Linked DNA regions of Alligator mississippiensis. The protein of the gene in region 1 interacts with the protein of each later gene in a pairwise test. Links are inferred from orthologs where the notes say so. Each region holds a gene or a part of one and is shown in the gene's direction. Other genes may lie near its edges.

Region 1 (7,806 bases):
ATTTTAATGTGGAGCTGACTAATTAGGTCTGCAGTAAAGTGTTGCTGTCTACACATGCATCAGTATTAGAACACAGTAAATTTAATTACCTCTGCTGTAGGATAGTACTGTCTGAGACTAGTATCAACCTATGGCAGAGTCATTTAGTGTGCCAAAACACATGTTTATAGAGTGACCAGGGCTGGCTGAGGCATGAGGGTGTTACAGTATGGGGACTGCCTGCCAGCCCTGACACTGCTACCCAGAGCCTGCGCTTCCCCCACCTGCAACCAGTCTGGGGCTGCTCCACCCTGGCTCAAACAGCTGCAGTCCTGGGCACATGTGAAGATGTTGTGCCTGGGAGCAGCTGACTCCTGCAGAAACTGTGCTGGAGCTTATTGCTACATGCTAATTATACATGTAGCTACACCTAGTATAAACAAAAAATATGCCTCTGGTCAAATATGACCAAAGTAGTAATCGCCTTCTAATTGTTCAGTGGTCTTTTGATCTTTTGAAAAAGCATTGATAATTATTTTTTCCCATTCTAATTAAAGGTGGCTACTGTTATCTTGGACCTTCTAGGGATGTCCAAGTTTTTTTGAGTAGACCTAAAAACTAAACTATGGCCCCTAGAAGTTATTCCTAAAGGTCTTGAGTGAAAACCCGTTGGGGAAACAAGGTAGCGGAACTTGTGTTGCCTTTTTTCTATTGTACCCAGTATAAATTAATTGAACTGCAGTCTCCATCAAAGACCCTCTAAATCTCTACTCTCTACACTACTTTAAAATACTTAGCCTTCTTGTTTCCTTTACTCCTTTGTTTGGGCCAATAGAATTAAACATTTCTTGCTTTAAAGACAATAGTGCATTCTTTGAAGTAAAAAGAAAAAAGGAACTATGATGATGACCTTTCATGACAGGGACATTTAAAATTTTTTACAGATTTGTCATGTGCAATTTAAACATTTGGCATTTCATGATCTTAGATTGCTTAACCATGTAACCTTATAGTTTAGTAATACTTTAATTGAATTTGGGGAGGGCAGGGAAAGGGTTCACCATTGAAGCAACAAGCTTAGAAGAAAATATCACCCTCTGGAATAACTTGCATAAATGCTGTATGTCAGGGATAGGCAGTGTTTTTAAAAATTCTAAACCTGGTGACAATAAATAAAGGTTCATATACTGCCTTTGTGTATTTGTTTTTTTTAAAGCATGCTGTGATGACACAGAGAAAAAGAGGAGACACGGGGGGGGGGGGGGGGGAGAAGAGAAAGAAAAGCACTAACCCCCTGGTGATTTATTGCGGCAGGAGGCAGAGTAGGCCCTTGGTCACAGGGTCCTAACCCACTTTTACCTACCCTACTCCTGTCTTCTCTTCAGTCACCCACCATACGTTAGCCTTAAATGGTAGGTAGAATAGAGAGGGAGGAGTTGGCACCTGATTGTTCTTGGCCTTTTACAGTGAGGCTTGGGAGATTACATCCTGGGTCTCTTCCACCCCTACACGATGCCCATGCCTCTCCAGAGAGATGTTGCCATGGAAGACACTGGTTCTTTAAGGATAAACTTAATTCCTTAAAATAGATGCTCTGTATTGACTGCCACAAAAAAGTAAAAATGCTCTCAAGTAAAAGACTTTTTTTCTTGGTGCCTGTCTTGGCCCTGCTTCTGACAGCTAAGATTGGTGATGGATGTTAGGCTGGTAGCTAGCTGTCATCAAATGCAAACATGAATCCGAACTGTCAGTTGTCAGATGGTTTGTCACAGGACTGAGTATGGATCTACTTACCACTATGAACAAGTGTTTTCACAAATGAAAACCAAAGATGGACAGCAAAGCAAAAGCTACTTTTTTTTCATGCAGGCATACTTTTGAAGAAGGGAAGACCAATATGCTGTAATCTTGAGTTGCTAGTCCCTTGCATTCTCAAATTCACCTCACAACCATTTGAACTTTGCTACTCAGATGCATGAGCTTTGAAAGTCAATCAGTTCCAATTCAAATCCTTCAATGTTCAGTCACTGAAAATACCGCAGTTCTGTGTCACTTTCACAGTATTGTCTGGGTTCACCAGAAGTGAAAACATGGGTCCTGTGTTGCAAAAGTCTTGGAATAGTCTTGCGAATTCATCTTCCAGCTGTCCTATGTAGTTTCATATACCCCTATTATTCAATTGATGTTACCCAGAATGGATTTTTCAGACTGAGCAAGTAATGGAAGGCAAATATTTAAATATCCTGTCTGAAAATGAACAACTTATCACAGAAAGCTTCCCAGTCTTCAGACAGCTGAAGGATGGTTTTCCATGTTCCTTGTAACCTAGTATTCAAATCATTTAAATGTGATGCAATGTCTGTCAAAGACATCAGTTTTGTTTGCCATCTGTCATAGTAAGGTCTGCATGTTACTGACCACTTTTTCCTCAAGAAACAGCTTGATGGATCTGAAACAAGCAAGAAAGCACTTGAGCATGTCACCTCAACTCAATCAGCATACATTACTGTGCAGCGCTAAATATCCATATGCAGAATCCATATCATTTGAAAGTTCACAGAATCTCCTGTATGTCAAAGAAGAGCGGGCGATTAAAAGGTTGACAAATTTCACAACCACTGTCATGATTTTGTTTAGATCAGAAGATGAGATCTTAGCGCACAGGCTCTCCTGATGAATAACACAATGGAAACTCATGAGGATGTCCAAACTCCATTTCAGAAGCTTTACAAATCTGGCTGTTTTACCTGCCATAGTAGATGCACCATCAGTCATACCAGAAAACATTTTGTGCAGGTCAATTTCTCACTGTGTGCAAAATACCTAGGGCAGCATTAATATATTGTTGGCCTTTTATTGTGCTATGCATAGTACTCAAAGAAAACAATTCCTCCAAACTTCCCAAACCGAGACAAAATATCTAACAACTATAGCATGATGGGGGATATCATTTATATCTGTGCCTTCATCCAGTGCAAGCCTTATCGCATTACAAGCAGGGAGATCTTGAATCATTTGTTCCCTAACATTAATTGCCATTTCATCTATTCACCTCTGAACAGTCCTGGATGACAATGGCATTTCATCAATGCAAACAATAATGCTTTCCTTATTTGCAAAATCCTAAAACAGATCCTCAGCACATTGTAAGAGAGAATCCTTTTAGTATTCTCCATCTGTAAAATACTTGCCTTCCTGAGCTATAGTTAGAGCTGCAATGTAATTTGCCTGTGTGGAAAGAGTATTTCTAGCTACAAAACAAGAAAAGCTGTCTGTGTTTTAGAAATGAATCAACAGCTTTTATAATGGATTCACATTTGTCTGCTTCACTGACTCCAGAAAATTTTGGCTTCGTGCTTGGTTGCAAAATGTCACTGGGTGCTGGAAGTACAAGATAGCACACTTTCATTGCACATGCTACAGACAACACCATCCCCTTGCTGCACAAAATCATACAATTCTCTCCATGCTGGCTGTAACTTTCAAATATCTAACTTTATGGATAGTAAAGAACCAAAGTTAGATATTTATATGCCTTGTAACTGTAAAATTTCCTGAAGTTCACACAAACCAAAGGCACTGCAAGCAATGTAAATAGGCAAAATCAGAAATAATTTAATTTATTTGAAGTGTGTGTAAATCTGGGTAAGTATTTCCAAGAAGGCAATCAGAGCAGAAAAACACACAAACAAGTGAGCAATATGATGTCTTTAAATCTAGGAACCCATAGTAGAGAGATCAAATTAAACTGACTATGACCTGTTTTGATACAGTTAAAGCTTGAAAAATATGAACTGGTTTAAAAGACTGAAAAATGGAACAAGAAATGATTTAACGGAGCAAAATAAAACTGAAAAATATGAACTATTTTGACAGAGCAACAGCTGAATATGAATCAGTTTAACAAAGCAAAATAAATCGGTCAATGTAGAGAGAGCAATGGCTGACTATTAATCAGTGTAACCAGGCAACGTAAAAGGAATAGTACAAACTGGTTTGAGAGAGCAAAAACAAAGCCTGAAATAATTTAACAAAGCAAAAGAAACTGAATAATATGCCATCTTAAACTATTTGCCAAAACCAGGAGCAGCACACGGCCCAGACAGAAGTTACAGAAGATGCTCTGTTTTGCCATGCCTTCATCTCGCCCTTCATGGCCCGAGGGGACAGATTTTCATCCAATCGGCAATGTTTTTAAACAGCATGCAGCTTGCACTTGTGTTTGGTCACACTACAAACCGCTTTCTGTGGCCAGACCAGGCGAAACTTGTCATTTCTGTCTGCACCCAGCAGGTTACTGAGCTGGCTGCCCCAAGAGCCAAGTGCTGAGCTCCTGTAAGCAGGCGGGGCAGGGCACTGACGCGGAGGTGCTGGTGCCCGCATCCCCTCCCCGCTGTGTCCCGCAGGCAGCACCACGCCCCCCGCCCAGGTCTCGCAGCCCAGCCTCAGGCACTGACAGGGTCAGGGCATCGGCAGGACGCAGCGGGGCTTTGTAGATGGCAGCAGCCCTGGGCGGGCGGCGGTGGGGGCGGCCCGCATGCTGCTGCCTCCAGCCCGGAGCTGTGGAGACGGCGCAGCCGCTGCAAATGCCCCCAGCCGGGCAGGCTGCAAACAGCTACGCACTTGAGGGAGAAGCTACAAAATTTGCCTCCCCTCACACAGCGTGCCCGCTCCTTTCCCGTGCGGGGCGGGGCGGGGCATGGGCGGGGGCTGGGCTCCCGACTGGAAACCCCGCCCCTCCCCGCGCTGCCGCTGACGACGCCGCCGCCGCCCCACGCAGCGGAGCCCGCCCCGCTGCCTCTCCGCCGCCCCGAGCCCGGCCCCCCGCCGGGAAAGGCTGGCGCGGCCCCGGCCCCGGCCCCCGGAAGAGGCTGGCGCCGCGCGCTTTTGCGGGCTCAGCTGCGCGGGGCGGGCGCAGCCCCCGGCCCGGTCCGGCCCGGCCCCCCGAGCCCCCCCACACCTCGGAGCCTGGCGCCGCGCGCGCGCCTCGGCAGCTTCAGGTGAGCGCCGCGCGGCCGCGGGCGGGGCGGGGCGGGGCGGGGCAGGGGCCTGAGGCAGCGCGGCCGCGCCCCCCCGCGTGCCCACACCGCGGCCCGGCATGCCTCCACGCCCGGCGGTTTTGTGCATGCGGAGTCACTTCGATTTCAGTCTGGCTCTGTGCGAGAACAGAGGCGTCTGCTCGGATGCAGCCCTCACTTCAGCAGCAAGGCACGTCTCCCTGCTGCTTCAGTAGCCACAATTGCTGCCCCGCCCCCCTCCCTCCCCCCCCACGATGGGTAGACAAAAAAAGAGAAGTGGAATGTAAAGTTTTAGGGAGCGTCCTCTGATGGGTGTGAAGATCGTTACCTCGAGCAACGCATTGGCTTCATAGAAAGGTTTTTGTATCAGGCCCTTGTATAACACTAGTTTTCTCAAGTTCCTACCTGTCTTTTTAAATAGGACTTTACTGCTGTTCTGATTCGCCCAAGATGTACATAGACAAATAATGGAAGCCCCTGAATACCTTGATTTGGATGAAATCGATTTTAGTGATGACATCTCTGTAAGTATAAGTCTTATTTTATCTGTTTCAAGGGCCACAATTGTTAGGTGTCTCAGTCATGCAGTTTTGGTGGTGGTGGCCAAACCCTGCTTTGCCCTTATGCGTGGGGATACTTTATTGTACTTGTTATCTATTATATGTTATATTGTTGCGGGTCACTTGAATTGAGACCATTTGTTTGCTTATCTACAAGATCTGACCTGGTCAACACTAGAAAGGGCAGAAGTCCAGCAGGGTTTTTGCTGTGCGTGTGTGTTTCTTTTTGTTTTTTGGGGTTTTTTTGTAAATGTGCAGCTTTTATGGTATAACTAGAATCAGAAGGGTTTCCAAGGATTTTAAAGACAATGTCAGTCCTGGGACTGCTCTTAAAATAATTCTAGTTTGAATTATAAGCAAAAATATTGCTCTTCTGAGGTTATAGACAGATGTAACAATTGTATCAATATCAAAGTATGCCAGTACAAGCTGTTATGATACAAGGTTAAATCTGTATGATCCTCCTTCACTCAGGGTTAAAGTTAGGGCAATTTAATTAACTTTTACCTCCTTGGGATCATGCAGATGTAACCATTAGAGCATAGCAGCTGCTGCACACTCCCAACCAGCAGCTCGCCTTCCTCTTTTAAAACCCCTACAATTAGTGTTTGTCCATACCTTGAAGTATGCACTTTCCAGCTCTTACAGGAACCACTGAAACACTTCATTCCTTCTTTCTAATTATACTTCTGCTACAAGTGTTCCTGTTTTATGAGTGAACCTGTTGTTTATATACCAAATGCCTGTTTAATGAGGGCAGTTTAACATGCACATAATTCTGATGTAAATTACATTTATTAATTTGATTTGCAGGTCACCTGTGCTGTCACTGACAAAGTGAAGCCTGCATATCCAAGACTATTATAAACTTCTCTTACAGAGGGTCTCATTTTCCCTGCTGTAGTTTATGCTGCATAGTGTTGTCTGCAGCAATATAAATGTATCCTCATTAAAAACTGCTCTGCAAAGCAATGCTGTCTCTGTGAGCAAAGGAAACCCTTGGCTGGTAGCTAGCAGAAGGCAGAAGTAGACATGCCCACACCTTCTGCTAGATGCTATGGCCCCTTCAGCACCTGGTACCTGTCTAGGGTGCACTTCATGCCCTGCCAGCGGGGCTGCAGGCAGAGCTGTGTGGTGGCACCAATTGCTTTATGGGCATGAACAGTGCTCTGGCAGCTTACCCATGGCAGGTGCTCTTTGCTGTCAGAATTTCCAGTGACAGACAGTCATGGGTAGGCAAGGCTAGTGTTTGGGTAGGCAAACCTTTTGGAAAGCTCCATGTGCTCTATTCCCATACAGCTTCCTTTTAAAAGGGATTTTATTTTTACCCTTTTTTACAATGGCTTCTAATTAAATGGGGATAAATTACAAGATAAGGCCCCAGTCGTGAGAGGATAGGTTTTTCTGGACAGCTGTCTTGTTTATATCTATTACCTACTAGCTTGGGTGTCTCAAACTTACCTGCCTTCCCCAAGCCTGACCCAAACCAGAGGGCTCCTCACAGGCCAGATCTGGACCAACATCTGGTGGTGGGATGAGCAGCAGTGGCAACAGCGCAGGGGTTAACATAGCCATTGCTTTCACCTGCCACTGACACATCCCCAGTGGGCTCTATACTCTGGATTTTGGTGATGGGCCCTGCCCTGACTCATCCCACCCCCAAATCTCCAGCCCCTCTAGGAACCCCATGGGCCAGAAGACACTGCTCCATGGACTGGATTTGGCCCACAGGCCATGTTTGACATCCCTATGCTGAATCATGTCCCCATATGTGTTTCTAGGCACAATTTTACAAATTCTTAGTGAAGAATAGATTTAGATCCAAAGTTGATTAAGTAATGACTAAAAATTGTTAAAACGTGATGAGTGTTCTTGTGGCCCAGTGAAGTGATATGATGGTCTCAGCCCATTTCTGAGTGGACAGGTATACGCATCAGAAAGTCATTCTTTCAGCTGAGTTCCTTGTCAGACAACTCGGCCAAGGGTCACAGGTTTTTGTGTGCACAGAGATTGCCCATGGCATCTAGGAGCTATTTTATATTACTAAGGGGGAAAAAATATTTAAAATTTTATTTTGATTGTACATGGGTTCCTGAATAAAGAGAAACTCTAACCTTTTCTTCTGTTTTTCAAACTCTTAAGCTACCCTGATTTAAGTGCCACATATCACAGATTTGTGTGCACGTTAAATAACAGAGTAGAGTTATGTGACCTTTATTTAAATTACACACACATCATTATGTTCAAAA
Region 2 (7,054 bases), on another chromosome or scaffold:
TTGCAAGAATGGATGTTGCATTAGCATTTTATTTTCTTGGCTTACTGATTATGGTTTATAATGGGCATGTCTACATGAACACTTTAATGCGTAGTAGCCTATTTTACTGCACATTAAAGCATCACATAAATAACTGTGCTAATAAGCTAATGCACAGTAAAAATAGGCTACTGCGCATGAAGTGTCACTAAAACAGCATGTGGTTTTGCACATTAGGGCAGCGTAATGCGCATTTACTTAGTATCTCACATTAAAGGTAATAAATTTAATGCGCAATAGCAAAAGCACATTAATGAACCTGTAGACATGCTCAGTGAGCAGTACTGCTGCTCTGAGGTTATCGTCGAGTATCATTTTTGTTGTCTCTAGATGCTCCAGACACATGGACAAAAGCTCCATTTAAGTGGGCTAAAAATTAAAAGAAAAAAATGAAAATGTTTCTCATGACTCCACGGGTTCTTATAAAAATCTTCCCCCCACCTTCACTGATAAGGAGTATCTAGATTTCACATCGCACAATCAGACCATGCCCTTTTATTTTAAAACAAAACAGACTAAAAGAACCCAGCTAGATGGCTGCGAATGACTGGATCTCATGTTAGGTAGAGACTCCACTACAGCTACATCACTTACAGTACCAAAGACTCTCAGTGAGACTAATAAAAATCAAGCCAAAACCATTTTGCAAAGATGTTCCCAATAAACATGGGAATATTCCAAAAATGCAACTATTGCTACCATTAAAGATTGTGCACAGATTTAATAAAAATTGTTTAGAAACCAGTTTCAATAAACTAGAGCTGCTCTCTTGTGCAGCTACATAATTACAAGTTACGTGTTATGTTATGGACATCCTTTGCATGGATGTAACATAACTAAACACACACCCAGCCTACCTTAATTTAGGGCTGATCATATAAACTTCCACTGCAATAAAAAAATTGCATATTAAAAACAAAAATCAGTAGATCTGTTGTAGGCACCATGAGACCAATATAACAGAGTCCACACTAAGAATCTAACCTGCATAACTATTTAAATGTTTAAAAAAATCATACCTCTGAACAAAAATAGTCTGGCCATATTCTGGGAGTTGCCCAGCATGTTGCAAAGTTGTGCCGCAGGGCCTAAATTTGGATATATGTAAGAAAAAAAATCTTATTATTACTATAACTCTTAAAAATATTGCAGGAGGCTCTTTTTTACCAGACTATTATATTTTGTAAACTATTTGGTTACATGAAAAAAATGTAGTAGTTAAAACTTAAAATCTTTAAATATTGCACACGTAAATTGGGGAGCAAACAACTGTCCATATATAAACAGACTTGTTTAATAAAGCAATGTTTAGAACAGATTATATAAAAATATCAAAATATACTTCTATTGTGTTCTAATGTATAAAAATACATTTCCAATCCAAACAAAAATTCAAGACACCAGAATTTTTATTCATTTCCTCTTCTGTTCCTTCTCCATGTGTAAAACAGAGAAATACCTGGATATCAGCAAGAAAGACCCATTTTCTTCTTCCAGATATGTCTTGGTTGAGTAAATGAGTCCACAGAAGTAATATTACTGCCCATTATTTGCAACCTTCTAATAAAATGTTTAGCTGTTGTAGATCATTTTTCGACCAAAAACCTCAAAATATATTTAAAAAATCAAGAATCACTGTCCTCATTTTACAGATGCCCAAGCTGGATCACTTTCAGGGCCACAACTCCTGAATCCCAGTTCAGAGTACTATTAATTGGACTGACCTACCTGTGGGAGTTGCATTCAGTAGGCTCCAGTATGTAGCATCATAAGGCTGGTGACATTCCTAAAGCTGTTTGAATGGAGGTCTTGTCTCTGGGAAATTTGGCCAGCCTATCTGATATGGGATAGCTCTTATGAGAATGCTTTATTGTAGGGTTATTATTTTGATAAGAATGATATCAAAATAACTAGTCTATAATGCGAGAGACAAACATTCTTGTGGGTGACATCTTTCATTGGACCAACTACATGGTTGGTATAAATCAGTGATTCTCAACCAGGGCACTATGACACACTGGAATGCCTCGAGATCCTTCCAGGATGCCACACAAAATGTTATCATTGTTAGGTGCGCAAACATAATTCATAAAATAAACCCAAGGATTTCCAATAGGAATACACAGTTTTAAAACATTCTGACTTGTTGTGGGCTCTCTCAGTGCTTTCAACAGAAAAATTGCTCTATTATTTTTTCATAGTCAAAAAACAAATGAAAACTAAGAACAACTGGCATTTTCTGAGGGATGCCTCAAGTCTAACAAGGGCCATCTTGAGCTTAAGGTTGAGAACATTGGCAACACATACGGGGTGCACACAGGTGCAGGTGCACCTCGAGATTGACGATGCATCCCCTGAAAGAAGTACCACCAATGCTGCCAGCAGCACCTGCGGGCAGTCGCCGCTCACCACCCCCCTCCCCTCACTGCTGACACCACCAGCAGCATCTGCGGGCAGTCACCAATCGCTACTGGTCGCTGGTGTCAGTGGCATCTGCGGGTGGAGGCTGACCACCGGTCGGCACCCCCCACTCCCGCTGCTGACACCACTGCGGCTGCCTGCAGGAACTCCTCGCTTGCCGCCCCCATGCCCCCGCCGCTGCCTGGGGGCAGCTGCCATGCCCCGCCAGCCTCCAGAGGCACGCGTCCGTTTATGGTGAGAATCACTAGTATAGACAAAAGCAAGCTTTTGCGTATCACAGTACAGGTTTCCCTCCCTTTCTGCAGGTTCTGTATGTCCAAATTTGCTCTTAAGCGATGACCCTTTTTATACCAAAAATTCATTGTATGCAAGGTAAATTCACTCTTGTGCGATCCCTGTAGTGGAAACAGTCAGGTGCTTTGTGATGTGCGTTGTGGGAGTGAGGCACACCAAAATACAGTCTCCTGCGTGGATCCATGCTCCTTGTTAGTGATCTGCGACATGCGTTTCTGTAGTTGCCATCCCCATTATGACAGTGATCTGTGCTTATGTGTACTGTCTGCTGTTGCCGAGTACCAAAACTGGCTTGTAAAAGTGGTAGAAATGGGTCTGGGGATCAGTACAGTTGAGGTCTTGGAACATATCCCTATTTATTACATTGTAAAGTGGGTTCCCTCTTTGCAAATTCAAGTTATGCACCACTTTCCAGGAATGCATATACAGCATACAGCAAGGGAAACCTGTACCCTTCCTCGGGCGTCTCATCACCTTATTCTAGACTGGTTATGTCACTTTCTATTAGCTATGCAGGAGAGTACGAGTCAATCCCACCCAACTCCAGGGTTCCTGCAAACAGCAAGATCACAAACTGACCAGACACCAAGTGGCAGGACACAGAGCAAAGGGACTGTCTTATACTCCACCTTGATCCTGCAAACCACCTTAGGTGGACCTCTCCACAAAACCACTGCCACAGGCATGTATCTGGTGCATTTAATGGACACCCCCAAACACCTGCCCCTTGTCAGCAGAGGGAGTCCCCGGCACACACCTATCCCGAGTGCACCCCTCTTCACCTCCTCAAGACGCTTGTGCTGAAATTGTGGCAGCCCCTTATTAGACGGGACAACCTTTTTTCACCTTGGTTTACACACTCCCGTCAGCAGCTCCACCGAGTCTCAGGGCCTCCTGATCGACCTCCTCCTGGCCCGGCTACGCTACTGCTCTCTCCCCCACAGCGGGGAGGACGCCCTCACCCACGGGGCAGCATCTCCTGGCTCCTCAGCGCCCCCCTTGAAATGTGTGCGATTAACCTCTGCCCCTCACTCCTGCCCCCGTTTTAAGCTGTCCCATGGAAGGAGTCGCCACACACCCCAGCCCCCTCAAACCACGGGTGGGGACGCAACGCATCCTCTCCCACGCAACATCCCCCGCGCCACGGGCGGCCAACTAGTACCACCCAATCCGTCCAGATTTAGATTTGGCTCTTTTTGTGCCCCCGCCCCGACGGGCTCTGGGGCGGGGCCCGAGGAAGCGCGGCCAAGATGGCGCCGGCGCCCGCCCTCACGTGACCTCCCCGCCCAGCGGCCCTTCCGGGCTTCCGTAGGGACCGAGAGGTGCGTCGGGGGAGGTAACCAGGAGGCGCAGGGCGCATGCGCGGAGCCAGGCCGCGACCCGCCGCGCAGGTGAGCGACGCCTCCGCGAGCAGGGGCGGGGCCTCCCCACGCCTCTAGGGGGGCTCGGCCCCGCCCCCGCCTCTCGCCCCGCCCCGCCCCTGCCGCCGAGGGCTGTCTACACTAGGGCGCGGGGGTAAATTCTTGCCCGTGGGTGGTGTCACGTCCGTTTTTGGGGGTGCCAAGCTGTGCCCCTTCCCCAGCCCCCTCTACACAGCTGGATGGTGCCCACCTGCCACATCCAGCTTGCAAACAGACAAGGTCTTGCAGGGGGGGGGAAAGTTGCACGCTGCTGGTCCGATGGGATCCGCAGTTCTCAACCGGGTCAATCTGGGGATCGTTTCCACGTACCCTGTGCAAGGTGCTAACATGGCTGGGCGTGCAAACACCCTTCCTGAGATGACACCCGGGGCTGTGAGTCAGGATGCCGAACGCCAAGAGCGTCCTGCACGTCAGCGGGCGTCCGCGCTCTTTGCGAGAGAAGGGCTCTATTTTTCCATCCTCAAAACGAGGAGCGAAAACGAAGCTGGCATTGCCTCGAGTCTCGCCGCGGGCTGCGAGGCGCAGCAGGAGCGTCCCAGAAACCGGTTGTTTGGTTATTTGCAGGTGACGAGAGGTTGGACCCGCCGCTTCCCCCACAACAGCAAAGGTACTACGGTTATGGTTTTAGTCCTACCCTGTGGGAACGAGTATTTGAGAAATATCTAAGGCCCAAGGTATCATTTTATTTAAACCTATTCCCCGGGGTTTGTGACGGGCTCGCCGCCGCGACGTCTTTCTTTCACTCAGCGGTGGCTGGAGGATGCGGGGCGGCGGGGATCTGCGCAGTTTATCTCTGAATCCTTTCAGGGAGCTTTTAAGAAACACTTCCCTTTGAGACCACGTTAGATCAGCTCCTTCTTGCCGGCCCAGACCTCGTTATTCCTAGCTGCGTTAACTGTTTGCTCAGAGTCGTCACGGCGCAGGCTCTGCTCCCATCTGTGTGGTTTTATGTCTTCACCTGTTTGCTCTCCTTTGGGCCGTACACAAGAGGGAAGCAACCGACTGTAGGTGGCTGCAGATCTAAAACTCCCTGATGTTGTATTCACAATGGCTGTTGGAAATACCCTTGGTCACATGTTCAAAACTGTATCGGAAACTGCCAACATCACAAAAGTGAAATCATTCAGGGGGTGATTGCGCTGGACAGTGTTGTTGGACAGTAGTGAGGTAAGGTTTATTTGTTACTAAAGAACATTAATACAGTAGTAAGATGACAAGGGAATGGTGCCAAACATTGCTGTTTAATAAAGTACATTGATTCATTTTTATAGAAAAAATAGTTTGCACGTGAAAGTGAAACTCATTTTGCACGTAAACCTCCAAGTTATAAAGTTAGATGTTTTACTTGCATTCTAACATCTGATTTTTTTTCTTTAGTTATTTTCTGTGTTGTGTTTTACATATTCAAATAAATTTGAATTGCCAAACTGTAAAATAATGGTGATCGTAGCAAAGAGACTGTACGATCGGCTTTCACATTCCATTCGTGTTCATTGCTGCTCTCCAGACTGACAAATGTATTTTGAAGCCTTGGGGAAATGAAAACTCATTGTCGCAACAAGAGCTAGTACTTTAGTAAAATGTCCCAAGATAAAAATTGGCACAATCGTAACAATTTGGGAATTTTAAACCAGACTACAAAATGCTGCTGCTTGTCACTTACTTGAAGAATCGACTTAATGAAGGCTATATGCGTCTTAGGATGTACACTGTGGAATTCTGGAAGTAATTAAATTTAATAAGGTACCAATAAGAAACAAGGGCATGACATTAATAGAAAACTATTTGGGGAAATTATTGTGTGTAATTGAAAAGAGAGAGATGTGCTGGGCCGTTTCTGTCCAAGAAATGAAGTCTCTATCCAAAGTAAAGCCAAAGGCGAGGAGCAGCTAGGTAAGTTCTCAGTTCCTGTGTACGTTAGCCTTCTAATTTATATTTAAAAACAAAACAAAACAATTTCCCTTCCTTTGTGGTCAAAAAGAATTTTGCAAGTCTGATCCAGGGGTAAGCCGAGAGTGTTGTTTAGAGGAAAGGGAGACTTCTGGGTAATGTTTTAGGAAGGGAGTTTTTGAAGAATAAACATTTGTATTAATATTTATAGTTTTTTCCCCCTGGTACTGTCTGTTGTTTTGTGCTAATGCAGGAGAACCAGAAAGTGAAACTGTCAGCAAGGAAAACTTGAAACTGCTTAGTCTGATTTTTACTGTGCAGTTTCAGTGACATATGTGAATATAACCTGGGCACAGATGACTGGGGGGGGGGTACATGCCCCCCTGAGATTGGCCCCCGACTCTTCACCACTCAGGACAGGGCAGTTTTTTTGCTGCACGGACCAGTAGTGTGCGGGGGGGCACTAAGCCACAGCACAGAAATATAGGAGTGGATATGGGGCTTTTGGCCCACCCCTGGTCCTGCCCATAAATTGTGCCCCCCCACCAGGCACCAGTCACCCCTGAACCTGGGGCTCATTTGCTTCAAATAAGCTTCAGTGTCTAGGAGCCAAAATTCCCCCCTCCCTTCCCCTTCCCAACAGATCCTACCCTGAGACTCACAGCTGCATTCAGGTTTCCTCCTGGTGTTCCCATCATTTGCCCCCACCTCCTCCCTTCCCAACTTCCTGAATGGATGTACTAATTCACTCTCCCCATGACATTCAGGTGCCTCACTTCTTTTCTGGGTTAAGCTCCCACTCTCCCTATTCTGGCAGAAGCAGAGATGGAGGGGTGCAGTCACTGGCAAGCACTTCAAGGTTGCCCAGTAGTGGCAGCTGCTTCAGAATGTCAGGTTCAGTTCATCTCAAAATTTTGGGAGTTTTATCTGCGTGCACTGAAGTTGCATTCACTGCGTTAAGTGCGTCTGTTCTGAATGGTGAAGGGATA

What was found.
Region 2: the proteins of SNCAIP (region 1) and NUB1 interact in a two-hybrid assay, tested with the Homo sapiens proteins (2 studies listed by BioGRID). The link is inferred for Alligator mississippiensis from reciprocal best matches to the Homo sapiens genes SNCAIP and NUB1.

Annotation. Positions count from the first base shown.
Region 1 is NC_081826.1:219,852,337-219,860,142, reverse strand, and holds the start of SNCAIP (synphilin-1), read left to right. Parts: upstream 1-4,799; 5' UTR 4,800-4,979; intron 4,980-5,097; exon of another isoform or gene 5,098-5,187; intron 5,188-5,418; 5' UTR 5,419-5,464; coding exon 5,465-5,521; intron 5,522-7,806. UniProt on the Homo sapiens protein: Isoform 2 inhibits the ubiquitin ligase activity of SIAH1 and inhibits proteasomal degradation of target proteins. Isoform 2 inhibits autoubiquitination and proteasomal degradation of SIAH1, and thereby increases cellular levels of SIAH.
Region 2 is NC_081828.1:207,581,246-207,588,299, reverse strand, and holds the start of NUB1 (NEDD8 ultimate buster 1), read left to right. Parts: upstream 1-4,047; 5' UTR 4,048-4,145; intron 4,146-4,739; 5' UTR 4,740-5,342; intron 5,343-7,054. UniProt on the Homo sapiens protein: Specific down-regulator of the NEDD8 conjugation system. Recruits NEDD8, UBD, and their conjugates to the proteasome for degradation. Isoform 1 promotes the degradation of NEDD8 more efficiently than isoform 2.